2 linked regions of the Coturnix japonica genome follow. The protein of the gene in region 2 binds, or shares a complex with, the protein of the main gene of each other region. Links are inferred from orthologs where the notes say so. Each region holds a gene or a part of one and is shown on either strand. Other genes may lie near its edges.

What was found.
Region 1: the proteins of CCT5 (region 2) and DCAF12 are in contact, whole or in part, in a cryo-EM structure (PDB 8AJM), measured with the Homo sapiens proteins. The link is inferred for Coturnix japonica from reciprocal best matches to the Homo sapiens genes CCT5 and DCAF12. Residues at the interface, in NP_036205.1 of Homo sapiens: Gly537, Glu538, Ser539, Glu540, Glu541; in NP_056212.1 of Homo sapiens: Lys91, Phe93, Lys108, His144, Trp186, Phe188, Arg203, Lys254, Arg256, Glu298, Val300, Arg344, Phe411, Tyr422, Leu440, Pro441, Ser442, Gly443.

The regions. Positions count from the first base shown.
Region 1 is NC_029547.1:6,945,933-6,961,352, forward strand, and holds the start of DCAF12 (DDB1- and CUL4-associated factor 12), read right to left. Parts: upstream 9,902-15,420; 5' UTR 9,717-9,901; coding exon 9,636-9,716; intron 9,137-9,635; exon of another isoform or gene 9,082-9,136; coding exon of another isoform or gene 9,031-9,081; intron 8,698-9,030; coding exon 8,443-8,697; intron 625-8,442; coding exon 418-624; intron 1-417. UniProt on the Homo sapiens protein: Substrate-recognition component of a DCX (DDB1-CUL4-X-box) E3 ubiquitin-protein ligase complex of the DesCEND (destruction via C-end degrons) pathway, which recognizes a C-degron located at the extreme C terminus of target proteins, leading to their ubiquitination and degradation.
Region 2 is NC_029517.1:52,184,622-52,198,624, reverse strand, and holds CCT5 (T-complex protein 1 subunit epsilon), read right to left. Parts: upstream 13,105-14,003; 5' UTR 13,037-13,104; coding exon 12,932-13,036; intron 12,696-12,931; coding exon 12,635-12,695; intron 12,521-12,634; coding exon 12,356-12,520; intron 11,650-12,355; coding exon 11,451-11,649; intron 10,553-11,450; coding exon 10,360-10,552; intron 9,926-10,359; coding exon 9,776-9,925; intron 9,395-9,775; coding exon 9,275-9,394; intron 8,890-9,274; coding exon 8,704-8,889; intron 6,972-8,703; coding exon 6,834-6,971; intron 6,629-6,833; coding exon 6,448-6,628; intron 5,821-6,447; coding exon 5,693-5,820; 3' UTR 5,537-5,692; downstream 1-5,536. UniProt on the Homo sapiens protein: Component of the chaperonin-containing T-complex (TRiC), a molecular chaperone complex that assists the folding of actin, tubulin and other proteins upon ATP hydrolysis.

The sequences.
Region 1 (15,420 bases), on a different chromosome or scaffold from region 2:
CGTGAGCTGCAGCGGGAAAGGAAAAACTTGAACAATGTGCATCATCTTTTCAGTTTCAAAAAGTTTTTCCACTAACAGTTTTGTGCCTCAGTTTCAATCTTCATCATCACAATTGGACTGACACTCTGGATTTTGTCACAATTTCAGTGCTTAAAAATAACCTGACGTGGACCCAAATGAAGGCAAGGAAAAGGAAATCAGAACTGTCTAACACATTTATGTTCACACTCGTATTTAAGACACTTTGTTTAAAAAAAGAGACTAAACCAGAAGTGCTTCAAAGCTTTCAAAAATTCAGAAATTCTTCACTTGTCACTACAAAACTCTGAAGTCTTAACCTTGCTCTGACTTTGGGCACTTCAAATAATTAATTCTTATAAGTAACAGAATAAATGTCCCCCAAATGTTCCCACTTACATCTCCCACGCAGACAGGATCAAGTGTAGGCAGACGATAAATTGCAAGACTGTTGGGGTTGTCTCCACCTGTAGCCAGAAGTGTCCGTGAGGGGTTGAGCTCAATGGCGTGAATCCCACAGCCCTGCTGGTTCACCATGCCGGGCTCACGGTCTTTCAGAATAGGAATCTTGGTAATTTGACCAGTCTGGACATCTACCACAAATAACTGGAAAAAATAATATGCAATTCACCATTAAACAAAGATCAGAAAAACAAAGCATTCAAAGACATTCTGTTTTGAATTACTCTTTCCTCTGTTTTCTCCCCAACTGAAATCCTGCAAGTATTACTGGAAAAAAAAAAAGAAATAAAACCCACTTTAATTAAATTTGTTTATTTCAAGGTTACTGTTTGGTTTGCAGAGCAATGAAACAAAAAAGGAGAGAAATTTTACATTGGAGGCTTCTCATTTAACCAAACACTCAAATCCAGAATGTATGATCCTGTTCAACACTTTGAGAAAACAGAATTGTTTTCAAGTTTCTCTTAACACCAGTGAGAAAGGCAGATCCACCTCAAAACAGTCAATAAGCCCAAGGGAATATAGAACAAGTCTCTGGCTGCGCAGACCAGTCACTGAACACCAAGTTATGTCAGTTCAAACATACAACTACAGTAAAGTTTACTTATTCCAATGGTAAACTATAGTTTAAACTACAATTACAGCAAAGCATGGCTTACATTGTCCAACAAAGTCTAACTTCATTTGCACTGGATCATTTCACAAGTGTCCAGAGTGCAGCTGCACTAACAGACAAATTGATTTAACTGAAAAGAACACATAGCACAGGCCAACAGCCTTCAGCTTCCAGGAGAAAAATGTGCCAAATGAGCAGTTTATAAATGCTTAGCTAATGACAGTAGGCAACTTCTGTCAAGAGTGTTTTGTGTCAACAGAATCTCTGTCATTAGTGAGGTGACATCTGGAGTACTGTGCCCAGTTCTGGGCTTCCCAGTTCAAGAAACACAGGGAACTGCTGCACAGAATCCAGCAAAGGGCCACAGAGATGGCTGTAGGCCTTCTGTATGAGGAACAGCAGAAAGAGCTGGGACTGTTCAGCCTGGAGAAGAGGGGACTGAGAGGGGATCCTACCAACACTTGGAAATAGCTAAAGATGACAAAAAAGGAAACGGAATATCATAGAGCAAACCTGGCTCCAAGAAAAGCCATGTATAATTGCAGATCAGGATCCAAGCAGAATTTAGTTCCCTTATATACACCACCCCCAGGAGAGCAGTTTATATGTATAAGTTCTTTTTTTGGTGAACTCAGGAATGTAGATCTGTTCTCTAACAAGCACCAGAAATTAAATAAAACTTAGTGGCATATCTATTACTTTTTTATGTACTGAGCTGAGAATAACAATGTCAAATAAAAATCTGTTCAAGTATCGTACATTACTCATTCTGTAGAAAACGCTTCCATCTACATATGACTGTTTGTGCACTGTATGTAGACTTGCACCAACTTCAACCCACAACTCACTCTCCTTTGCAGACAGCAGTCTTGCACAGAGATCACAGCTCCTACAGATGCTGAATTTTCACCTTCAGTTCTTTATTTTGATGCAGATGCAGAGGGTGAGGGAACAGCTGAAGAGCAGATGAGCAGGAAGAGGAAGAGAACAGCACTTCTATCTCCCCCAAGTGCAGTTGTGTGCCCAAACCAACTGATGAACACTCAACATATGCAGCAGCCCTAACTTCATCCCTGAAAATTAGTTGCCCTGTTCCTGCAGTGCAGGCATTAATTTCTTCTCCTCTCATCTTCTTTCTTCCTTCAATATTTTCTTTCAACTGAAGATCTCAGTGCTTTCCCATGCCCTCCTTCAACAGTTCCTGGTGTCATCAGCAGGTCCTAAAGCTGCTACCAGAACTGCTCATTAGGAAAACACATCTGCATTTCAGGATGCCCATAGATTCAGAAAAAAATCATCTTCCAGCAGTTACAGATGCACAGTTCAAATGGCACCTCAATAGATAAGCAGACTGAAATTAAAATCTTCTATGTTCTTCAGCCTCACACCACTGTCACGCTGTGCCTGACACTAAGTTAATAAAAAACAAAAATACTTACCCTAATGTGAAATTACTTTAATAACGCTAAACTCCAAACTAATCAAAAAGTCAAAGAAATTGGAAACATACAATACTGAAGTATCATAGAGCCTCACACTCAAGTCAAGGGACAGGCTTTGAAAGTTCAGCTGTATGGTTTGAAGCAGCAACTACTGCACATAGTAAAAAACAGAACATAATGCAGACAGACTAAAACCACAATCCAGGAATAGAATAAACAAATGCTACCTGCTTAAATTATGACTTTTGCATCATCTGGGACACCGCAGGAAGACAGAAGCTCACACTTGCAAACAGAGCCATAGAATGCCAAGAAATCTTCCCTGTAAATACAGCGCACAGAAGCCAAACAGCTGTTCTTAGCATTTTTACCTTTTGGGCTTTATACCAGCCTAAGATAGGCATCCAGCTAAGAATGCTGACAATTGCATACTATTTTATGAGTTTTCAAGACACTACAGTAAATAAAGCGTAAAATACCTGACAGCTTATAAAAAAGTTTCAGCTACAACTCCAGCATGTAGTAAAATAAAAGGACCATGGCAGACTGATACAGCTATATAATACACTTGTCTCAGACACAAGTTTTTACGATCTGGTTATGATTTTCACACTCAATGAAATTACTAATTGTGTCCTTTTTATTACTATTATTTCAATTTGTATTGCAGAATAGCTAGAAATTCTTCTAGCAATTAGCTTCTATACATTTTCTAAGAGGCTGCCCCTTGTCCTACTTTTTACAGTGTTTCACTTCATTAATGACAGAACTTAATTGATCAACAAGCCAAAAGCCAATTCCCTCTAATGGGGAATCACATATCAGAAGACCTCATTCTAAACTGCAAAATCCATTCTCTGGGTGTCACTTTGTCAGAAGTCTGCTTTCATTTTTTGACTTGCCTTTAAGGGACAACAGTTTAGGAGGACAAGGGAAAGAAAAGACACACATTTCAGATACACACTGAAAGGATTTGACAGAGAAATACAGCAAGTAATATTTCAGCCTATGCCATTTTAATGCTACATCTGATCTAACCATTACTTCAAGAAGCATTCTGGTCATATTTATTTTAGTGAGAACACTGAAACCTTGAAAATTCTCATCTTCGTATGCAGAGCAAGATAAAAAAAAATCTGACCAAAGAAATGCAATTTTCATGGTATCATGTGAAGAATATGCTGCATCTTCAGCTGCTAGATTTGTGCACAGAATAGCATCCAGTTTAATCAGCTGAAAATTAAGGTTGCCTGTTCAAACCAATTTGAACAAACCAAAGCTTGTAACCCACAGCTACATTATGCTGTTATTTCAGAAACAGGACAGACCCAGATTCACAGGATACAAAGAACACGCATGAAAGAGACTACTTATTCCTCACAGAAAAAGTACACACGATACACACTGTGCTTCAGCTATTTACAGGCTGCTCTGAAATCACAGAGCATAATGCACTTTTATCATTCGTAAAAATATTTGAAAAAACTCCAGATAAACACACTGCCTCGCTAAAAAGAATTATTAAAAGAATAATCTGGGATAGAATTTCACAACTGGCTTAAGCCAACCTTTGGGAATCCACATGTACCTTCTTCACATACTCACCCTGTCTCACCACCTCTGCAACAACAACTGGTGTTCAGGTAGCTGCCAGGTCACTCAGACCTCTCTGCCTTTGGTAGAAACTAATCTTTGTCTCAATACAAAGCAGCAAGCTGACCCAGCTGACTCCTCAGCCATGTGAACATCAGTGCCAGCAGGAATGAGCAGGTGGGAACATCCTGTTCTGCGAGGCATGGCTAGCAACCAGCTGAACCTGATCACAACAATTTCACTCTCAGCCAAGCTGAAAAATGACATCATCATCTCTGAATTTTATTTCACTAACAAAACAACAGAAACAAGACAATGCTTAGAGTGGATACACTAACACCACTGCTGGTTACTCTGACAAGCACACAGTTCCCCACCCCATTTCTCAGTATTGTTTTCTGTTTGGACTGTAAGCATTTCTGTTCTTTAAGATCACAAAATGCTTCACATAAAGCTTTTCATTCCTATGGCAATACAGATTCACTAATGTATCATGCCAGGCCTTCAAGAAACATCAAACCTCCAAAGACTAAGAACTCAAACTGGTAGAATTCCTTTCCAGCTGAGCTCAGAACATGCACTAATCTTAACATGGAACATACTTACAGGTTGTGCAGTACAATCAGCACCACGGGGTAATGATCTTACACAAGTTCCTCAAAAGGATCCAGAGTGAGAAAAAACAATCATGAGGAGTTAACTGCAGTAAAAAAAAAAAAGTCAGCAAGTTTACACTGAATTCCTATTTCCAGAGGCAGAGCAGTGCAAGCAAGCACTCCACCTGGATACGAAACTCTTAAGCCCTCACAGTTCCTGGGCATGCACTTTGATGCCACTAAATATGTTCAGTGCCAAAGTCACATTTGTCGGTTTTTATTTGCGTCTTGCCCTCCGTGTTTAATTTCAGGAGGCTGGCAGACAGTTAGTGCACGCTGACAGATGGCAGAGGATGGGGAAGCGAGAGACTTCACTTGCTACAGGGCATCTCTGCCACCCACACCATACCTGGCAAAGAAGCTAACAAATTCTGGAAACAGACATGGGCATCACACGCAGAGAGAAAACCTAACACTCCCTAGAGATGAGAAACAGCATCTCACTGTGCCCTCACAAAACACTGAAACAAAGGTGAATTAAGGTGCTATTTACTGGTGTCGGAGGTCTATTTACAGTGAGCAAAGTACAGTGCTCAAGCAGAGTTATAAACTGTGAGAACATGACTTCTTCCCTCCTGGGAGCAAGAAACAAGCAGTCTATTTGATTCCTGACAGCATGGCCAAAACCAGGGGATACATTCACTTGCAAAGCAAGTAGAAAGCGTTTCCTCCTAGACCCTCCATATTCACAGATATAAGAACCATGAATTGAGTAGTTCAGGACTACAGACACCAGGACTAGAAGACTACAATTATATGAGGTGCGCTGAACAAACAAAAAATCCTTAAGCAGAAACAAGAGCTGGTCATTTACACTAGGGCACCCAAATCAGTGTGTGAATCTACCAAGGAGAAAAAGTGTCACTGAACTGGAAACCATTTGAACCACAGAAAAGCCACCTGAGAAATCAGATGAGAGCAAACAAGGAATTTGGGTAGTTCAGGTTTTTGTTTAAGTAGCTTTCCGTATTTAGGGAATGAATTTAAAGCTCTAGTGTTTTTACACACTTCATAATTAGCAAAAGAATTATGATACATAGAGCTAAGGATCAGAAGACACAAGAAAATGCTTAATTTCAGGAAATGGTAATGGATAGTATAAAGGGAAGAAACAGTTCAGTAACTCAGCATTTAGAGCTCTCTTCTGTCACAAGCTTGTTTCCTCCACCATCTCTTCAGTTTCTGAAAAGCCTGAGCACAACACACTAATTACAGACAGAATCTTCTGAGACTTCCTGGTACCAGCCTTTGGTAATTGAGATGCCACAATGACACACTATAAACACCTGCATGTCTCAGAGGTTTGTCTGTTTCCTCATTTGTTTTTCAACAACTTTAAGAAGCCCATTTTATACAAGACCAAGAAGATCCTCGCAAACACGAATCCCACTTCAGAAAGTCCCAGGTGATTGCATCTGACTTTGACATTTGAATGCTTGGATAGCTTCCATAATAAAGTATCTGGGAAAGAAAGTATGCACCTTTCATAAACCAAAACACTTAATTTGACATGCAATTGACTGACCATATACAAGCATTCAAGGATTCAATGGAAGTCAGTAAAGTTTTTTTACACACACAAACACTTCAGTGATAATCCTAAGTATAAGAAGTTACCTGAAATAATAAAACTAGTTATAATTTCTATTAAAAAAGAACAACTGTGAGCTCTACAGTCTCTTCAGCACTTAGACTGACCAGTACTGTCAAATGATTAAAAGTAAAGCCTGTCTTATGACAAGAGCGTGTTTTTGTTTTGTTATTAAATTGGTGAATGCCTCTGGCACCGCATAGCCAAAGGTAATTTATAAATTAACTGCAAAAAGGCTCCCAGTGTCATATTCAAGCTTTGATTCAAGTAACTGGTTTGGTTTAATTTTTTTTGTTGCATTAGCTTTAATTACAAGCCATGCCAGTGTAACAAACCCCACTGAAGTTAAAGAAGTCGTTACAAATTTACTCCCAAGTTCAGTGCATGAGAATAACCAAAAGAACTCATCTTTATAATGTTGCTTACTCAGGAGATGAGAAAGAAAATCTTATAATTAAAGTGTTGTTTAACACTCTAGTTGCTAAAATGTGAGCACAAAGCAACCAGACTAAGTATTCATAATTCATATATAATCTTCCATAATGACAAAGCTGACTTCTGTCATCAGGACAATGTCCATCAGTACTCCAAGTTCAGCTGTGGAAGCATATACCTCATTGCAGCATATGCAGTAGGAACAACAGTAAGGCTGAATCCCTCTTCAGTTCTCTGATTGTTTGCTCACAAACCATTTTCTGCAAGCTTGCATTAACAATGCATTTGTCCATTTATCTTTGCTGCAGAGGCAATAGAACTACAGAAGTTACAGAACACAGCAAAACTGTTGCAGACGATAAAACCTGCAATGATCTTGCTAGAATAAGCAAGATTTTGAGGCTGGAGTTTTAGCAGGAAGGGCTAAAACTCTGTTCCATGAAGGGCTGGCAGCTGATCAGCTGAGGCAGTGAGCACGCATGGAGAAAGAAAGCAAAAAGATTCTGCTCCAGGATTATTCCTATTACAACACTGTTTTGTTTATACAGCTAGGCCTTGATTCTTAAGAGCTACTGCATAGAAGTCTCCTCCTGTGCAACTATGAATAATTACAGAAAATTTGAAATGAAAAAAATATCACTGTCCTTTGCAAGTCAGACCACAGTGCGCAACTTCTACAAGTAATTAAAGCAAAGAAACGATCACAACAGTTCATAATCTTCCATATACTTGGAAGATTACAAACTGTTTATACATTCCTTACAAAATTTGATTTGTTTCAGTAGCACTAAACAACCTGAAAAGAACAAATTCTGGATTTTACACTAACTCAATCAGGGCTTCCCATTAGCTGTTAAGGTCAGGCCACTAACTAATCCCAGGTGAAGATATTAGTTAATATGTACGATCGCCTCCATTTATTAAATAAGTAATATCCCATTTTAACATTCCCGTATAATGTTTAAAACCCAAATCATCACTTTAAGAGCCTGAGGAGTTTTCAGTGTTTGCTAAAGTACATGGAAGTACATGAACATACACAAACTAAAGAGATTTAGATTGGAAAAAAATCATAAAGTAAACAAACAAAGGATAATCTTGAATACGTGAAATTCTTTTTTAAATCTTAGAACATTTACTCTGAAGAATACCGAGAGTTTAACAGGAGCTTTTAGTTCTGTAGTAATTTCTCAGTCATCAACAGAACAACACAAAAAAAAAACCCAAAACACGCTGAAGATGACAAAAAAACAGAGTCTTACCAGCATATTCTGCTAGACATCACATTATTTAGAAATCAGAGGTACAATCATTAACCAATCCTTCCTCCCCCCATCATCTTCAGCACAACAAGAAAGAGTCAACCACACTGTTCCATTCTGCAGAGCCTGTGTACAGGTACAGGTCTCAGTCTGGTTCACATCCACATGCACAGAGCCATGTTTTCAGATGAAAATGGGCCACAGTCAAACCTTACACATATTCGTGTTTTATTAGATACAATTTTGACTCTGGTTCTAGTTACTTCCTAATATTCTCCTTGATAGCCTACATAAGATTACAAAAGGCACCAGCATGAGGAAAGGGAATTACAGAACAGAGGAAAGAAGCAAGAGAAGAGGTACTTACTGTGTTGCATTTTGTCCCACAAACTACTTGCCGGTGGTTCAACCACTGGGAGGCAAACACTTTATTGAGGGTTCCAAGATGAAACTCCCTCTCCTTCAGGAGGCTGGGAAGCTGCTGGGCTGCATGTCCGTGCAACAGGCGGTGGTAGCTGGACTCATTCTGCATCCAGATCTCCCTCCCTTTTAGGTAATACACCAGGGACTGCTTCACTGGGGGAAGCCGCTTCCTTTTGTGCACTGAATGATCCCATCCATACTGTGGAAAACAAACATGGAAATAATATAGAAAACCAAAAAAAAAACCAAACCAGCAGTCTTCCAATTCAGATCGCTTAAGTCTTCTAAACTATCCATAAGAAATCATACAAGATCAACACAGAAGTGCTAGTACAGCCTTTACATCGCAGAATTAAACACATTTTGCTAAATAAGTGGTATCGCAGTGGTGCCACAGACAGTTTAGCACTGCTGAAGTGATAAAGGAGACACAAGAAACCTGAAAAATAAGCATTTTAAGCAGCTGAGAGCAGCCCCAGACTCCACCCCAGCGAAGTACAACCACACGGGGCGGGGGCCGCTCGGTACCGACCGCGGCATCCACAGCTCTCTTGCGGCCGACACCGGGCTCCATCCGCTGCATGGCCAAGGAGCCCTGCCCGGGACGCGGCCGTTACGGGCAAAACAACGGCTGAACCCAGCGGGACAGCGGGGATTCGAAGGGAACCTGACAGCAGCGGGAGGGCGACGCCCCCCGGCCCGTTACCGCCAGCTGCCCTCAATCACCCCCTATCAATCAGCGGCACACCGACATCCCCGAGCCCCACTTCCCCTCTTTAACCCGGGCTCCACAACGGCCGCTCACACCGACCCCCGCCCGCAGCCGGTGCCGGACTCACCGCGCTCAGTCACACCGGCCCCCGGGCCTACCTGCTCCCCATAGAGCCCCCCTGCTCCCCACAGAGCCCCCGGGCCTACCTGTTCCCCACAGAGCCCCCCGGGCCTACCTGCCCCCATAGAGCCCCCCTGCTCCCCAGAGCCCCCCCTGCTCCCCATACACCCCCCGGGCCTACCTGCTCCCCATAGAGCCCCCCGGCTCCCCACAGAGCCCCCGGGCCTACCTGTTCCCCACAGAGCCCCCCGGGCCTACCTGCCCCCATAGAGCCCCCCGGCTCCCCATACACCCCCCAGGCCTACCTGCTCCCCATAGAGCCCCCCGGGCCCCGCGGCGGACGCCGACGCCGCTTTCCGCTTCCTGCTAACTGTTTTCCTGGCCATAGTAGAAAGAAAGTGAAGAAGTGAAGCCGAGAGCCCGGTTCGGACCCCACATGGAGCAGACGGAGCAGGCAGCCGCCACGACACGTAGCATGAAGCGCCGGCAGCCGAGCCCGGCCGCTCACTCCGCCGCAGGCCCCTCCGGACCGCCCTTCACGACATTTCCCCGTTTTACGGCAGTCGCAGCTTTACGGCAGCTCCGCGTCCCAGCGCACGGACGGCAGCGGGCGCCGCCTCCACTGCGGTTGCCAGGCAACGCGCTGCGGGCCGGGCAGCGCCCCCTGGTGGCGGCAGGGAGTGGTGCAGGCTGCGCCGCCCCAGCCCGGCTTCCACAACGACTGTCCTGATGGACGCTCATGATATTTCCTCAATTTCTGCCCCATCGCTCTTCATTGAACACTTTGTAACGCAGCCTGTGTTAAAACATCCACTGCGCTCATGCCCTCTGTGCACGCTTGTATTTTCACTGTAATTCAGAGCAAAAAAGCAATGTGCTGCATGTACAGGTTACCCCAAGGGACACACAGCTGTACAGGTGGGAATGCTGACACAGGCACCTCCAGGCTGCTGCGAGTGGCTTAATGCACAGGGACAGTAATGCTGCTGAGAACATTAAAAAAAAAGGGGTTTTAAAAAAAAAAAAAAAGGGGGTTGTGAAGTGAATGGTCTGTCTAAAGGGGCACCTCCAGAGATCTGTTACAGACTGGCTCGTTATTTCTTTATCTCGTTATTTCTTTATCTCTGAGCCGTGTGGAGCAGGGTCACCCTTGCACTGACGGGCGCCGCACACCAACACCCGCCCCGCCATGACGTCACCGCGGGGCCTGCAGGTGACGCTGCGTCGTGACGTCATCACGTCCCCGGGGCGGCGAGGCGGAGGGCAGGTACGCAAGATGGCGGCGCCCGGCGGCCGGGCCGGAGAGGGCGGCTTGTTGCGGCTGGCGTAGGGCCGGGCGGTGGGCAGGGGCTGCGGGGACAGTTACCAGCCAGGGGCCGGCAGGTAACGAGCGGGCCTGGCGGGGGGGGAGGTGAAGGAGGGGGGCAGCGGAGGCGTTTCACCAAGCTAGGCCGGCAGGCTCCGGTTCCCTTCCTCGTGCTGAGGGGCTGAGGGTGCGGCCCCTCCCCGGGCTCCCCGCCCGTTCTCGCTGTCCCGCCGTGATTCAGCAGCGGGGCCCGCTCGCTCCGTGACCGCGATGCAGGCGGAGGGCGGCTCCCGGCGCTGCGGGGTCAGGCCTGGTCCTGCCTCCGCTCCGTGCTGCCCCGTAGTTCCGGTGTCTGCCCGGTGCTGCCCCGCGGTGAAACTGCGCCCTCAGAGCTGCTGGGATTCGGGTACGGGGTGAGTGCCCACCAAAGAGCTTCCTTACTGCAGTAACCACATCTTATGTGGAAATCGGCATCTTCTGGTTTGGATGGGCTAAGAGCTGCGTGTGGATCTTGTCGAGCTGTCCTTCGGGTCAGTCTGTTTATTTGTGGTGCCTACGTTGTGAGATGAGTAGCGCTCAGTCATCCGTTTGATGTTAAATAACTGCTGTATTCCCTCTAGTCCTTGCAGGCTGACAAGCTGAAGTCTTGTTTACTGTATGGGTGGTAGCCTTCCGTATCTCACTTCATGCTCATTACCTATTTCTGGATCATTTCCAGTTAGCTGTTCCTCTTCTAAGTTGAAAAGAGGGCCACATCTTCTGCATTTGAGATGCAGACGTACTGTGGATGTACGCCATAGGGTAAGAATACTTCACCTCTGTAGTCCTTAACTTCCTGATAATGCCTTGTGTGCTGTTAGCTCACAGTCACTCAGAGAAAAATGGTTAATTCTGTGATTAAGATATTTACTGTAACTTGAGGGTTGTCTTTCTGATTTTTCATAGAGCAAAGTCTCTGATTTTAAAAGGCGAGTTAGGAGTGTTTCCTTGTAAGTAATAGAAATGACAATAGTTGGAAGTGAGTAATTGCTTGGTAAAGAGTTTTTGTTCTCCATATCACTTTAGTTGCTAGACAAGACCAAGAAAAAAAAAAACACACAGAAAAATATTGCCTCATATGCAGTGATAAGCAGGTGGACTCTGGCACTTTGCTTGACGACAGATGTAGCTGTTGTTTGAGTTTTGATAAAAATACAGTTGTGTCAGATGTGGATATTCATAGATGACAAGCATTGCCAAATTACGGACATCTCTTTCTTCGGACTTCAGCCTCTGTGTGACTGATAGAAGGCATCGGCATCTCAAAACTTGTTACTGGGTGAATGGGTTTTTGTGGGAGTTTGTTGGGAAGGAATCTGCTCCAATTTGTGGTCAAGATTGGGAAAGAAACTGAGGTGGTTCTGCAGTTAGCTACCTGCCTCATCTGCCTTGCCTGGTCGTGTCTGGAGTGTGGAACTTCACTAGTGCAGGCACTCCCATAACTACTTACTTCCTTACAACTGGTCTTGACTTCTCCGAGTTGCAGCAGTATTTTATTTTTTGATGTATTTTTTTTTCTCTGTTCAGAACAGAGCTATGCACATAGCTCTGTGCCATCTGAGGAAGATATGTGTGGTAGTGGGCTGATGTGTGCCAGGCCATGTGTTATGTTATATTGTAAGGGGAGTGTTTGTTTCCTGCAGTATGGCAGTGCTGGTGTTGCTGGATGACTTCAGATTTTTTTCAATAAACACTGACTTGTAATTTGTAAGTGCCAGAGATGCTTTGGAGCACCACTGCAAATGAGTGACTTAAGCCTTTTAGACAAGATATTGATCCTAAGAATAGGGGAAGAGAAAATATAATCTTTAAACTTCATTGTTACTAACTCATGGATTTGGTCTCAGAAGCAAAACTGAAAGTGATTGCACATTTTTCTTCTCATTGCTGGATCCGGCCTGCTTTATTTTTTTTTTCTCTCCTGCTCATGCAGTATGGAGCACAGGAATCAGGGCTGAAGTCACTTCTTCTAGGAAAAGAGATTTAACACAAGGAAAATGGAAACTAAAAGTTACCTGGAACATCATGCAGAAAGCGAGGAAGTATTAAATGTTAGATATATGAATGGATGATAAGTAAATGTTATTTCCTCTTTAATAAGCTTATATTTTCAGATTATTTTAATATGTTGACCTGTTGTTCAGCTGTGAGATTTATTAATTTCTTTGTTAGTTGGTGGCTAGCTAATATCTCAACAATCAAATTATCAAAGACATGTGAAGAGCTCCACCTCCATTGTTCTAACAGTATCTTGCAGTGCTCAGCACTTGTTATTTGAAAGACAAAAATGTTTAGTTCGGAGACAACAAGCCAGGTTTCTGGAGCAGCCTGGCAGGCTGTCACATCTAACATTGTCATTGACAGCCCGAGCTGTTTTGCTGGTGCTGGTGGCAAAAGAACTGTAATGCCACAGTAGGCACCATCTTACTTGTTTTTAATTCCATTAGCGTGTGGCTTCATATTGCTTACACAAACTTTAGTGACTTCAGGGCATTAAGCACTCCTAACACTACTCAGTCTCCATGTCATAAGCTTTTTGTCATCAGCTTGTTCTGTATTTCACAGTTGGTAATAGCATGAATATTTTGATAAACTGTTATGAGAGAAGTTCTGCTTTCTAACAGGAACTGCTATCCACCTTCCCTTGTATTTTGTTCCTATTGTAATTTCTTGCAGTCTTCTCTGTAAGTTGTGGACCTGAAATTATTAAATCCTTACTTAAAGGCTGTTCACACAAAGGCATTACTGTCTATTTAAAATGATAACTGTAATTCGAATCAGTGACAGTGTAAAAATGGTCTCGTGGAGCCATAACTGAAAAAAAGCTCTGGAAGATGTTTTTGAAAACAGTTTTTTTCAGAGGAAAGGGTAGGAGGGGTTGTTTACAAGTTAGAAATAGCTTCCTGGTTTTAAAAAGTAGGTCTTCTAGGGTGTATCTGAGGGTGATTTATTTTCTTTGTATTCTCTGCTTGTTCTGGTAACAAGGAAGGCAATACTAATGATCTAATAGCATGTACCACTCTACAGTCAATCTCTGCCCTCGGGGGGAGAGAAGGCCTTGTGAGAGATCTTGACAAATCAGAGCTGGACAATCTCCTATAGCATGAAGCTATAGATTGGCTGCCACAGTGTAAGAAGAACTCTTAACTGATAGAGATCGCTGAAAGAAAGGCTCCAAAGGAGGGAAGGGTCTGGAGGACAAGGTATGTGCTGGGCCAGGGCAGAGGAGCTGGGGGGAGCCTCATGGCGGCTGCAGCTCCTCATAGGGAGCGGAGGGCAGCGCTGAGCTCTGCTCTGTGTGACAGGGAACGGCATGGAGCTGTGCCAGGGGAGGTTCGGGAAAGGCTCTGCCTTAGAGGGCGTGGAATGGGCTGCACAGGGCAGCGAGCACGGCCAGAGCTCGGGGAGTGTTTTGTCAGTGCTTTCAGATACAGCATTTGAATTTGGGTCCTGCATGGTGCCGGGAGTTGGTGTCAGAAATTCATGTGGTTGCAATCAATTTAGGCATGCTCTGTCTGTGATTCTGTGCTTTGGATTGCTGTTGATCAATGCAGGCATAAGCTCGCTGTTTTACTATTAGCTACCTAGGTGGGTAATCCGTTCTGGTATGCCAGTGCTCTGCTTTATGCTTTGACCCTGACTTGGTTCAAATAATCTCATGTTCTGTGCCCCTAGTGACCTTTTGCAGTCAGTGTAGTCTTGTTTGAGGCCTTCTAGAATGATCTAAGCAGTGTTTTTTGTTTTGTTTTCTTTTCTCTCTCTTAAATGGCAAGTAACTCTAGATTTTTGCTTACATGGCAAAGGATTTTATAAGTGCAGGAAAGTACTCTGTGAGAGCTTAGGGAGAGAACAGCTTGCATGTCAGAACAAGCAATTTTCTGTTCCAAAGACTACAAGCTCTTTTCAGAAGTTTGTGCCATCCTTGTTTAAAACCTAGAATACAAAGGGGTAACAGAGTAACTGACTTAAGTTTAAACCTGTAGAAGGGAAAGTTGATTCAAAATATCATATTGTATCAGTTGTATTACGTCTTCTAAACAGGCGGAGTCCGAATGGGAATTCATAGTCTGTGATCTCTCAGTTACATTTTGACTGGAACACTTGGATCAGAGCAACTCTTTAAGTGGGCAAAGCGCAGCGTGAGTCCTGTGCATGAAGTAGTCAATTCTTCAGCTGGAAGAGGGTCCCTGTATGAACATACTTAAACTGCTCAGGTAGTCAGTTGTGTGGAAAGTACTAATGAACTAGAATTCTATTAGTTGTGATCTCTCCATTTAGATTATGTTGCTGGAGGTGAGTATTCACCGTAGCTATGTACTAGATCCTGTCTTAGGTCGTTTTCTAATTTATGTGTTTGTGCTGTTTGGCATCTGTGGGGTCACAGCAGATGAAGATGTGAGATTTGTTCCCTCTGCTTTGGATGTTGGATTTGTAAGTGTCTTATCCTCATGCTGTGACAAGTGTTAGTGCTGTGCTTAATTGAGACACGGAGCCTGTGTGTTCAGTTTGATTTTTCTTCATCAACTTGACTCCAAACACAAATTAGATTCATAGTTTACAAACACTCTGTGAAGTAGTTGTCAAAGGATGTGTATTTCCTTTTCCAATGCAGCAGAGCTATCCACCTTATTCCACCCTAATGACTAACACTATCATGTGGCATCTTTGTACAGTAATGTATAATAATTTGAAATAGAGATATATCCTTGTAATCGGGAAAGGAATTTCTACTTTTCTTTCTGAGC
Region 2 (14,003 bases):
GGCTCCAGTCTGGGCAACTGAGACACCAGAGCTGCTACATTTCTTTCTGAGTGGGCTTGAAAAGGCATCTGTTATCATCTCATCAGTGCCCCTACTTAAACCCTTACAGGAGCTAGCCCATCTTGAAACCTCGCAGGAACTGTTCTGTCCCATCCTACCCCATCAACAGAGCAATTCTCCCTCCCTGCTTAGCTCCTAAGTGGTATCCTGTTTTTTGCAGGTACCTCCAGGGAATGTTTCACTGCAGGAATTCTCAGGGCCACTTCTCAGTCCCTTGGATGCTCACACTGCTGTGTTTCAGCAGCTAAGCCTCCACCATTGCTGGCAGTGAGTCAAGGACCTGGATGCCCATACCCACTAGCTCCTGTCTCAGCAATCCAGATTGGCTCAGGGTTTAGTAACACAACCTGCTTTCCACTGCTGTGAGCTGCTCCCTCTAGAACAGAGTTCCACCTCCTCCCATGCTCAGTTTCAGATGGAAATTGAAGCTAACGCTTCAAATCAAGCTAACGCTGCTAAGCATCTGTTGAACTGTGTTAGCCCTGTTAGCTTCTGCGCTTCTACTAAAAATAATGCTCAGTGAGAACTGAGAACTGTATGGCTCCATTTAGGATCTCTGCTCTTCTGCTGCTGCAACTTGCCACTCTCAAGGAAGATGGGACTTAGGCAGCTCAGATCTGCCCCTCTCCCATACACTTGCATGGTTCCAAAATGACGGGAACAAGAGAAAGATCCTGTCAGAGATCCCAAGGAGTCAGAAATGGAGCTCCCATGAGATTTGTAGCAGTAGCTTTTCTTAGAGACTGAGTCACCATAGCTGAAAAGCAAGGCAGCACAACCAGCATTAAGATGATGTTCCAGTGCAAGCCTGTGCCAAATCTATGCAGCGGAGGATCTTTCCTAAGCTGGTTTTCGGACATGTCTGCTTTGCCAGCCCTCTCCAAGCATCGCTTTCCATCTCTCTGGGCTACCTTGCCAGTCTCTACCTCTTGTAATCACTTAACTTTTGGCACTGTCCTTAATTCAAAAGCAGTGCCGGAGACTTGCCTTTCTTGGCCTTTGGCCTTTTTCCACTTGCTTGAGACGTGTTAATGAGACGACCTCATATCTAATCACCTAGTCAAGGCACTAGCAAAATGCCAGCCAACACAGTAGCTGGATGTGAAAAATAAGAAACCAGCTAATGTCAGCTTAGACTGCTGCTTGAAGGGTCCTTAGAGGAGGGTTAGGTTCACTGGAAAACCCGGCTGAGGGCCATCAGCTCCTGCCCTTGGTTGGAGGGACAGACCTGGCAGTGAGAAGCAGAGAAGGCTGTGATGTATGTGTGGGAGAAAGGTCAGGAGATTGCAGAGGGCTTTGCACCTGCGGCCTGGGTGATGGGAATGGCCAGTGAGTGATGAATAGGAGCAGCTGTCAGAGAGGCTCACCACCAGACAGTCCAGTTAGATAGTGGGAACTCAGCAATTTTCATGTTGGATGGGTTTTTTACGATACACTGAGAACTAGGTGACATAAGGCACATAAATCAAGGCAGCTTCTTGAAACTGAGACAATCTGTGGCCCTGATGCCCTCAGGCTGGAGCAGCTGAAGTGACACTGGATAGTCCCTGTGTACATGGGCCCTGTTTGTGCCAGCAGGGGAACCACCCTCCAGCTCCGGAGGAAGAAACAAATGTTTTTGAGGATCCAACTTGGTTATGTATGAATTACACAGAAACCAACAGTTTTCTTTGCATGGTGTAAAAAGGCACTGTGCCGTATCAGAGATCTAAATCCCAGTCAAACATTTAAATATTTCATATGCATTTATTTTTTTGGTTTACGATACTATTAAACCACATAAATGAATTTTATTATACATGCTCATTCATCTCTGTCTGCTTTGGTTCTCATGGAATCACTGAGGTTCGAGTTCACCTCTAAGAAAGATCAACCAGTCCAACCATCAGCCCATTCCCACTGTACCCACTAACCCACATCCCTCAGTACCACATCCACCTTGGTTCCTGAGCACCTGCAGGGATGGTGACTCCACCATCTCCATGAGCAGCCTGTTTGTTCTATTTCTTGTCTCCTCCTTAGTTTCTCCCTTTGGGCCCCTCAATTGCCCACCTCAGAAAAAGAGCATACAAATGTCTGACAGGTAAAAGTTGGGTCAAGGACTGAGGGTGACAGCAGGGCAGGTGGGGACAGCTCATAGGCAAGGGGGACAAGCAGGAAAACCAAGGCCTCTAGTGTCAATGGCCAGGGTCAGCCAAGAGCCCAGATCACCAGGCAAGCTCATCACAGCAGGGCAAGAGCAAGTCACTAAGTCAAAGCAGCACTGGGGTCAAGGCACAGACAGATAAAAGGTAACTTAGGTGAGGAGGAAGGGACAGGGCCTGAGCTTAAATACATCTACTGAGGGAAAGGGAGAGGCATCTCCCACTCCATGATTTTGATAGCAGTCTAATTGCAGATGACACAGCCGTGCCACCCACACAAGTATCTGAACTCCTGGGAGGGGAGGCAAGGAGAGTGCTGTCAGAGTCCTGGCTGTGGTGTTCCGTACTAAGGGAGCAGTCAGATGCCAGGTGACTGCCAGGGACCTGATCCTTTCAGTGCTTGTGCTGCTGCTGTTCAGTACTGAACACCAGGAACCTCACTGTAGCACAGAAACTGATCCTAAATAGCCTGGGGAGAAATACCATAAAGATGCAGATTCTAGCACATGTACAACAGGTTCAGTGACTTGCAGAGAACATGCTAAAGCGTTACCCTCCCATCATCTGAGTTTAGCAGACTGTCTCTGTTGTATCACAGCGAGGACTTGTTTACAAAGCAAACGCTGTCAGTCCATTTAATTGGCTCTTTAACATGGTGAGAAATGTTCCCTGGCAGAGAGCTTCTGGGAAGCCCTCCAAGATGTGAAATGGAGAGGTACTTCTACGCAGAGAGGACAAACGGGGCTAGTTCCTCCCTACTGAATCATCCCTCATGGGATGATGGTATGAGTTCAGGAGCTGTAACAGCCACAGCCCACATAATAGCAATTTTTAATGCTGTTTGGCATGGTTACGATGGAAGATGGAAGTTCTCCCAGCTCGTTCTCTACGGTAAAATGGCTCAGGGTAGGTTGTTCTCTGTCCATCTGAACTGTGGAAGGGACTTGCTGCTGCCGATGCAACAAGTGGCAAGTATCTTCCTCCTGGAAAAACCCACCCAGACCCAACACCGCTGAGAAACCACTGCGCACCCAAAGCCAGGATCCCAGCCCTGCACAAACTGCACCCAGCAGCTGCTGGCTGCCATAAGCTGGGTGTGACCAAAGGGATGGGGAGGAATCTGCACGCTGTTCTCTAGGAACCTCCCCCAAGCACCCGCAAAGATGAGCATCGTGTCAGTGCAGAGACAGGAGAGGGAAGGAGGAAAGGAACTAGGCCCAGGAACACAGCAAGAGAGGCTTAGAATTGGGTCTGAGTTCTGATGCCAAATGGCTTTTCCATGAGTTTAGCTGCACAGTGAATCGTCAGGGTGCGGGTTCTAAGATGACATCAAACACTGGATTTAAGAGGGAATATTTATGCAATCAGTTCAAGGTACCAAGCTTCTGAAAAGATTCAGATTGCGATGGTGATAAATGTGCGCAATGCTGATGGTGCTGAAGAAAGCTGCCTGGCTTCAGCTTACCGTTCAGTCCAGCTGCAGTCCCCTTCTGGCACTAATATTCTTACATTGCCCTCCAGTGGCAAGCCCTGCATTTTGCCAGGTTGATTGAAGAATTTGAAGGCCAGTGAAACACTCCATTTCAGTATCAGTGTTCACCTCTCACAGTTCAGATTCAGCCCCAAATCGTAACAGTGGTTTTGCGGTTAAACAAAACAGAAGGCACAATTATTCCAGTCTTGAAAGCATACAACCTTGAACTGCACTGGCTTCAATAATATGGTTTAATGCTCTTCAGTTGCACATCGCTGTCCTCCAATTACCTATGCAAAACCTAAACATCAACTAAACGTACGCATTAAATAACTCAGGTGATAATGCTACATCTTATTTTGAAAACCATTAGTAAAAGCCTCAGGAAAAACCCTCATTTTCAGAGTTTTGCCAGTGTTCCACTACCAGTCTTCTAATATTCCACATGAAAGTCTCATTTGAGATTAGATAATATTTACATACATACATAGACTTTCATTTCCTTAAGGCAGATGAATGAGCAAAGGGATCACCTTTTCCCTGTTCCAGAGGCTTCTGGACTGCAGTAGAACTCCCCCACCCCAAAAGCAAACCTCCAAATCTGATCAAGTTTCAACTTTCACACCCCCAGAGCCTCCCAGCCTGCTGGGCTGCAAGTCTTCCTGGAATTGGGAATAACCTGGTCTACGTTACTGCCTGCAAGCTGCAAGTTACTGTGAACCAATGCAACATACATAGAGCAGAGCACCGTCACAGCCTTCTCCATTCCAGTGGCAGTGCTGCTGCACAGAGCCCTCTGTTCTTCACATCTATCAAGGAGCCAGAATGTTCAATTACAAATTGAGCTGGGTGTCCAACTTTGCTCTTCCTCCTGGACATCCTACGTTTAAAACTAACCATGTCTTCTAAACCATGCTGAAAAACAAACATGTAACTGAAACAGCTAATAGGTGAAGCTTTTATTGTGTTAATATGCCAAAGAAACTACCCAGATAAGCTGTTCAAAGATTCTGCAAGGATCAAGTGAGATTATCGTCTTCCTAAACCCTTCCAGCATGGCACTGTAATGCCCTGTGGCATGTTATTTCATATATAGTATAGAGCTGTTCATTTAGCTCATATTTCATAATGCGGTGTTCATTCATGCCACAGTTCAAATGGCTCTAACACTGAATAAACCCAAGGCTGTCAAGATCTGGGAATGCTTCGCGGCTGTTTGCTGAATGCCTCAAGCCTGTTCACTGGAACAGGCTGCCCAGGGAGGTGGTGGAGTCTCCTTCTCTGGAGATATTCAAGACCCACCTGGACGCCTACCTGTGTGACATGGTGTAGGGAGCCTGCTTTGGCAGCGGGGTTGGACTCGATGATTTCTAGAGGTCCCTTCCAACCCCTACAATTCTGTGATTCTGTTTAAGCAGCTTCTATTCAGCATCACAAGTCAAAGATTTGTGCAACTTTCAAGCAACTTGAAACATGTTGTATGGTACCTTAAATCTCCAAATGTAAACTACACAATCAACGTGTTCAGCATGTAAGAATTCTTGGGGGCTACAACTATTTTCAGTTTCATGCACTAAAGAGTGACACACTTAAAATGGAAAACTGTGGGCTTTGCTCACAAGCAGTTAAAAGAAATTAGCTGCAGGAACAATGGATGTGTGAGATACTATTAATGCACAGAATCACAAGGTTGGAAAGGACCTACAAGACCATCTAGTCCAACCATTCTCCTATCCCCATTACTATGAAACCATTAGCATTATCCATTACTCTCCCCCCGCTACACATTCAGAATGTTTTTCCTAAGACTATTTACAACTGTCCATGACAAGACACAATGACAATTCTGAAACGAGGCTTGAAACCATCGGTGCTAAATTGCATTTTATTTCCAACCATTAGCCATTACAGTATCTGAAACAGTGTCCAAAATAAATAGCTGAAGATGAAGCATCAGAATACTACCGTCTTCGCTACTGTTGTGGCCCCGTTAACTTTCCATGTTTTTCAACCTTTAGTCTTCAGATTCTCCAGGCCTACGGATATCATCGATCTTCAGAATCATTCTAACGACCTGAGTTGCCAGAGAAATCTGTTGTTTCTTACCAATCAAGGTTTCTATAACATGTTGCTGTTTCATATCTGTTAAAAAAGAAGATACGAAAGCATTAGAGACCTTCCTCAAACCCAAATGTACTATTTACCTGAGACAGTTATTTTCTACGTTAATTTTGAACGTAATAGAATTATTTCTATTCACAATCATCATTAATTAGTATAAACTATAGCTTTTAGCCTGGGCTCTTAACAAAGATCTCAGAACCTTAACACCAAACTCTCTTCTCACAACTAAGTCTTCCTCAGTTGTTACTTCACCTTCCTGCATTTCTGTGTACAGATATCAGAAGCATCCTAAGAGTAGAGCATTCAGCTCAAAGTTGAAGATCCATGATACAGAAATATCAATGAACTGTTATGTATTTATGTAAGCACAACACCTGATGTTTCAAGATTTCTTTTTTTCATTCATTTCAAATAAATGGCAGAATAAGAATTTGAATCCAGCAGTTACAGATCTTCTTCCTGTTGTACATCATTTATCTCTCTACCCCCACTCCAATTTACAAGGTAAGGTAAAAGACTTTGTAATTCTGACAGACATATTGAAAAATAAAAAGAAAAATAAGACTGCTGATAAAATGAAAGCTTTCAGATTTCTAAGGAAGGAAACCCTGTTATGTTCCCTATTCTTCACGGTATACTTCTTACCATTTGTTCCTTTCTGCAAACAGTCGATGCCAAGAGCAGGATTGTTTTCCTTCACTTGCCTAGCCCGTACTTCAGTCATTGTCTGAATTGGATTCATTCCACTGTTCTCCGAAAGGGCCATAGGGATTACCTCCAGGGCATCTGCAAACGCCCTCATAGCATACTGTTCCAAAGATGGGCACTAGGAAGTAAAAAGTGATACAGCTTTTATTTCTGCAGTGAGCAAAAGTGCACTTTTGCACTAAAATACTCATGCAGTTTTCTTGGCAATATTCACCCTAGTAACTGACAGAGTATTCTGCCTAACTGCCTGCAAATAAAAACCATTTTATATTGCTCTTATCCAAAAAGGACCTGCAATACCTCTACAAAGGCTCCTTCCCTACCTTATCTGCTGCTTCACTGACTGCCAAGGCACATGAAATTTCAGCTGCACCACCACCGTACACAATGCGGTTATCGCGAACCAGATTCCGGATCACACACAGAGCATCGTGAAGAGACCGCTTTGCTTCTTCAATAATCTGAAACGATACAATAGCACATACTTCATACTGCACACAACTGGAGAATATGGAGATGCATTTCCTAATGCGAGAAAATAAAAGAATGCAAGTAAATGATTGACCTTCCATTACTTGAAGTGTACATATAAACAGGAGGAGGAATGGCTGTTAACAGGGATGGACAGTGATAGGACAAAGGGGAATGGTCTTAAACTGAGACAGGGGAGGTTTAGTTTAGATATTAGGAGGAAGTTTTTCCACACAGAGGGTGCTGACACACTGGAACAGGTTGCTCAAGGAGGTTGTGGATGCCCCATCCCTGGAGGCATTCAAGGCCAGGCTGGATGTGGCTCTGGGCAGCCTGGTCTGGTGGTTGGTGACCCTGCACATAGCAGGGGGTTGAAACTGGATGATCTTTGTGGTCCTTTTCAACCCAGGCCATTCTGTGATTCTATGACAGGATCTCTTTATAGCTCTACTAATGCTACATTATACTATTTCAAAAAGTGAAATGCTACAATACCTAGTGGCAGAGAAGGAATGCAAAATATACACATTTCAGTGCTATTTGTTGTACCTATAAATTCAAACTATGAAAACTTACACCACTTTTTTCAGTCTTATACACGTTTCCAAGACAAAAGCCACAAATTTAAACACCAACATTTTTTTCTCCTTGCATTTAGTGTCAACTATCCAGAGTGCAATAGATGTTAAAGGATTTAACAAGTTAATATTAGCCTTTAAAGAAGCATTGTTTTCTTTAAAAACCTCTTCCAGCAGTTTATTTCTTCCCAACTTTTTGACTCAAAACAGGACATAACCTATAATAATATACAATATAAATCATTTCACACTAACAATTCAGCCATGAACCAAATTAAGCAGAGAAGCATAAAAAATAGGCACAACTCAGACCATTTTAAAACGTTTTGAACCAGAACAAGTGACATAAGTATATATTAAAATATAGTCTTGCAAAAATACATATTCACCCATGAAAGTGACTCTCCCATAAAGGAAATGAGAGACCAAAAATTATTTCTCTGTCTATTAACTATACGGTCCAATAAGAAAACAAAATTTTCACCCAAAAACATGGATGTGACTCAACAAGTGACTTGAACACAAACACCGTTGCCTACAAAACCCCTAAATTACTCCACACTGCAGATAAAGCTTAGATAAAATTAATGGAAGAGTTAATAGGCTTCTAAAATGAAAGAGACTACATATTCAACAATGTACGTATAAAACATTACTAACTACGAGCTGTGACTTTATCCAGCAGGGCACCCAACTATCAAGTTCTTCAGTGTGCAAACGGCTACGTTTAGTAAGGAAAGAAAGAAGGGGAAACAATAAAAAGCAATAACAAAAAGAGTAAACAGAACTAGTTCACAAAGTAACTGCTCCCTACACACTGACCAAAGCCCAGCCAGTCCCTGATCCTCCCCAGCTTTCAGTTCCACACGATGCCATTCAGTATACGACATCCCTTTAGACAGTTTGGGTCAGCTGTCCTGGTTCTGTCACTTCCCAACTCCTTGTGCTGCTTCAGCCCCTCGCTGGCAGGGCAGTGTGAAAAGCAGGGAAGTCCTTGGTTCTGTTCAGAACCACCCAGCAACAAGGAGAACATTGGTGTGTTATACAAATTATTTCCCAACATCCAAAAACTATCACCATACCAGCTACTAGGAGGAAAATTCACCATCCCAGCCAAAACCAGGACAGAAAACAAAGGTCTTACCATTTTATTTCCTCCTCTGATGAAAATGGTCACAGCTCTGGAATTCTGGCACTGTTCAATGACAAGCATTCTGTCCTTTGTTGTGCCAAAGGAGATCTCTCTGACAACACCAGCAAAACCCAGTTTCTCAGGTGTGAGTTCACAGAAACGAGGAACGATGCGTCCTCCGGTTGCAATGGCGATTAACTAGAATTAAGAAACTCCATTATTTTGAGAAGACTTTTCTATAATTATTTTAATAAAGTAAAGCTATAGTCAAATATCTCCAACAAAGTTACCTTCCCATCAGGCAATGCCTTGATTCTAAAACAAGACACAAAGTAAAATCGCTCCTACCCGCATACAACCTGTAAGGAGCAATACGCATGGACTGCAATACACACCACAATCCCATTAACTCCAGCTTCTTTCCACAGACAGATCCCCAGTGATTTTGCTTCAGTACGTGCCAATACTACATAATAATAATGTAATTCTACTCAGAAAGCACAAACTTTTAATTTGTGCAGCAGATCACTCAACAAAGATTTGAGATCTGGTAAAAATCCCAGTTTGGGAAGATTGTACTTACTTCTATTTCGGGTCCACCAACCCAACGAACAGCAGGCAGCTCATTCTGAAGCAGCAAGTGATTTGCTTCATCATCAAAGCCCCACTGGCAAATAGCAAGGTTTGCACCAGTGTCTTTAATCTGAAAGCAGCACGCAGTGATAACCATCAGCACTAACACAGAAACGAGGAATTTCACAAACACATTCCTTTGTTGTTTTAGTTCTACTCTTTTCAAAGCAGAAGTCTGCAGAAGACAAGTATATCTGTACATGAAGGCATAGAAAGAAATGAAAGCAAATTTCAATGCACTGCCCAGGGAGGTGGTGGAGTCACCGACCATGGGAGTGTTCAAGAAACATTTGGATGTTGTGTTGAGGAATATGATTTAGCTGGGAAGTATTGGTAATGGTTGGACTAGATGATCTTCTAGGTCTTTTCCAACCTTGATAATTCTGTGATTCTGTTTAGTGTAAAGGCTATGTAAAAAATACAAATAGAAACATAATTCTGAAGACTCTACCTGCTTCACCATCTCTTCAAACTTCTCTTTTTCATATTTCTGCAGTGCCTTGTAATCGTCTACAGATGTGACATCAAGCTTATGCTTGGTTTTAGGCTTCGGTGGTTCGAACGGGCAAGTCAGGATTGCAATTTTGGCATCTTTAAGTTCCTGTACAATAATAAAAAGTTGCAGTTTGATGACAGTCACACCTCCTATTTGTATTTGCACAATGCACAAATGTTATCTTTAAATAAGTAGGGGCTGTAGGATCCTTGATGATCATTTAAGTGATTCTAAAGTGAAGCCGGTTATACTCAGTTTCATCTGAAGTTTCACATAAGAGAAATTCCATAGCTTCAGGACACAAATGTTTAAGCACCCATCAGCCTTCAGTCATTTATTTTAAATATTAGATGTTTAAAAAGAAGAAAGCTTCCTATCCACAGTGGACATTACAAATACAACCCACTCGCTTTCACTGACACTTCTGAATGTGTATGATACTCTCCTCTAACCTTCCTTTTCACAGTGTAACCTATATACTACTTGTTAAATGTTATTTAAACTGTTACAGATGAGATGCAGAGAGGGGATTCACTCACCTTAGGCATCTGGGGATGACTGAAATCTTTATCCACGATCACTCCCTTTACCAGCTGCGTATCTTCCAGTCTGCCTCCCACTTTGCCTTGTACTTTGATCAGCTCAAAATCAACATCTTTACGCTCCATATCAGCTACTGTCAGTACAGCATTCACAGCAATTTCTGCCATTTGTCTGTGACAACGGTTGACTCTAAATTTAAAGAAAATACAGTTGTATTATATTTGCACATTCAGAAGAAACAGGTTCTATCAATTTTGAACAGAGAAAGGATATGTATTACTATAGCAAATGTGTTTTGTTTGCTGCATGAAGAAAAGGCATCCAGCTCATTGATGCACAGGAATATGAACATGCTAACTATGACAGAAAAAAAATATCAGTTTGTCTATGTATCCTTTGTGAACATAGTCTCAAGGCATCAATATGAAACAAGCGGGGAGAACTGATACTGCACTTCATAAAATCTACTGTCCAGGAGTAATTAAAAATGGCAGACAGCTCCCTCTGTATTTTGCTGTCTTCTCAAGTCTTTCCTATACTTTTACATACAGATCCCACAATGGTATCTTAAAAATTTAGTCCCTAAAGAGTCACAGACAACTGAGAAATGAGACTGCGTAGAAAGAATATTGTATAAAACAAAAGCATCTCCATCCTTAACATCTGTATATATATAAATCTATAGAACCAGTAATGAAAACTGCAATTGTGAATCCAGAACTGTCCTATGAGTCTGTTCAGAAAAAAAAAAAACCCACAAAAAAACCCTTTCTAAAAATAACTGAATGTTAGAACTCAAAGTTTCTAAGTGCCAAGATACAGTAATACAAAACAGAATGGGTAGAATGAAAATGATTTTGTAGCTGTTTGATTTCACAAAACTGCCCCTTTGAGAATAAGGGCTTCACAATTTCTTATCCTGAAATATGAATTTTTTGAGAAATAAGCCAGTCAAATATAATAAAGCCTTCAGCAGCTTCTCCAATAACAAAAAACAATGTAATCATCCATCAAAACACTTCTTTTTTTCAACCAAAGAGTACTCATGGAAAATATACACACTTTCATTAAGCTTTTATAAACTTACACTTTAGAGCCAAGCGTGGTCTTTGCTGTTTGGATCAGAGGTTCAATGTTCTGTGGATCAACTGGAAAGCTGTCGCTGATTTTGTCTAGATGCTCAACAGCAATGCGGGCTGCCTGCTCATAACCATCAGCTATTCTGATAGGGTGAATACCACGATCTAGCAATTGTTCAGCCTGTTCCAATAATGCTCCAGCCAGAACTGTAAAGAATTCACAAACAAACACACATTTACTCTTGCAGAGATGGGGGCATGATATCTCATACACCATCAAGAGTTTAATAAGTATGCCTTCAGATTTTTCTATTGTATTTTAACTGTTTGAGATTTATCAGGCAATAAGAATGGTACCATCAACCCCATATTCACTAAGAAAACTGCATTATTTAGACCAGAGAAACACAGAAGCCAATAGCGATCACTATGGTAAAAAGTAACAAAAATAAGTTTAGTCAAATGCTTTCAATGCTAACTTCAAACACAACCACAGTAAAAAATTACAAAAACATATTTCTAATTAAAATGCTACAAATAAGAAACGAAAAATACCAAAGCAGTAAATACACTATGGGAAAACTACTTTTCCTCTTAAAATACATTTGAAAGTATGCTTTTATAACTGGAAAGCCCACATTAAGGGAAGATTTAGGTTGGCTATCAGGGGGGAAGTTCTCTACTATGAGAGTAGTGAGGTGCTGGCACAGGCTGCCCAGAGTCACTGTGGATGCCCCATCCCTGGAGGTTTTCAAGGCCAGGTTGGATGGGGCCCTGGGCAGCCTGGTCTTGAATGAGATTTGTAAGCTGGCAGACCTGCCCGCTGCATGGGGGCTGGAGCTTCATGACCCTTAAGGTCCCTTCCAACCCAAGCCATTCTGCGGTTCTTTGATTAAGCACAATCTGCTCTTACCCACGACTCCAGTGGTTCCATCCCCAATCTCATCATCCTGAGATTTGGCCAGTTCCACCATAAGTTTGGCTATCTGGTGATCCACATCCATCATGTTCAGGATGGTGGCTCCATCATTTGTCACTGTCACCTCACCATCTTTGTCCACCATCATCTTATCCAAGCCTGACAAAAAAAAAAATAAAATAAAATAAAAAATCAAGAAAGTGAGTGAAAAAGCTAAAAACCCACAGAAAACAAGGTGCAGGAAAAAAAAGAGTACAGTAATTTCATTGTTACCGTTGGGCCCAAGGGATGTTCTCAGAGTACTCGCCACAGCCTTTGCTGCCAGGATGTGAGACTGCAAAACAACGGAGATAAAAGGTAAATCGCACTCCTGAACTATAGCACTAATGTAACTTACAGGCTGTAAGCTCACTAGGGAGAGCAGCGTGTGGCTGTAGACCAAGCAAGCAATCGGCCATACACGGCCTAGCGGCCCCCCCCCCCTAACGGCGGCATGGCAGCATGGCCCAGCAAGGCCCCCCCTCTACAGGCAGATCCTGTGCCCGTCCTCCCGCTCGCTCACTCGCTCACCTTGAGAGCCTCGAGTCCCATAAGGCGCGTCTTGCGCTCCTGGTCCTTGAGGATGAGGAAGGGCCGCCCATACTCATCAAACGCCAGCGTCCCCATGGCCGACATGGCTGCAGCAGCACCCACCCCGAGCACTAAACGGATCCCGCCGCGCCCGCCGCGCCGTGATGTCAGCGCGCTCCCAGCGCATGCGCAGAGAACTAGGAGGAGTAATATGGCGTGTGGGTCACAGCGTTCTGGAAGCGTCTGAGGCTGTGGGAGCGGAGCCCTGTCCACCAGCGCGGGGGGGGGGGAGGCGGAAAGGGGATATCCTTTAACACAGTACGGGAGCTAAGCGGCCTGCACCGCAGTGGACTGAAGCGAAGGAGTGAGAGCAGACACAGCGCGGATTCACAAAGGTGCTTTCTCTCTTCTCGCCGCTTTCTGGAGCGTAGTCAGAAGGGTGGCCCTGCGCTCTCTCCCCCCCGCCATGTTGGGATGGTATCGTCCTCTTGCATAAGTACTGCTGCAGGGGGGGGGGGGGGTGCCCTGATCAGTGTAGCGTAGGGGGGTCCTAGGGGCTTCTTGGGGGTTCCTTCTCTGGAGATATTTAAGACCCGCCTGGACGCCTACCTATGTGACGTGGTGTAGGGAACCTGCTTTGGCAGGGGGGTTGGACTTGATGATCTCTAGAGGTCCCTTCCAACCCCTACAGTTCTGTGATTCTGGCTTTTCAGGCTTTAGTCGGCTGTGTAGTCCAGACCCCTGCTAAAGCAGACCCTCTTCCGTGGATCGCCTGGTAGAGCATCTCAGGCTGGTATTGACTACCTCCAGAGAAGGAGGCTCTGCAGTCTCCTTATGCTTAAGCACCACCCGCTTCCCTCTCTTCACAGAAAGATAAACTAGCACCTCAGTTGATTGAAAAAAAACCAATTTGTTGCCTAGGAATCAACTAAAAGAAGAGTGAGGGGAGTAAACTCTTCATAAGGGCTGACAATGGGGGACATGGTTTGAAATGGTTTGAAGTTAAAAGAGGGAAGATTTAGGTTGGATGTTAGGGGGAAGTTCTTCACTAGGAGGGTGGTTAGGCCCTGGA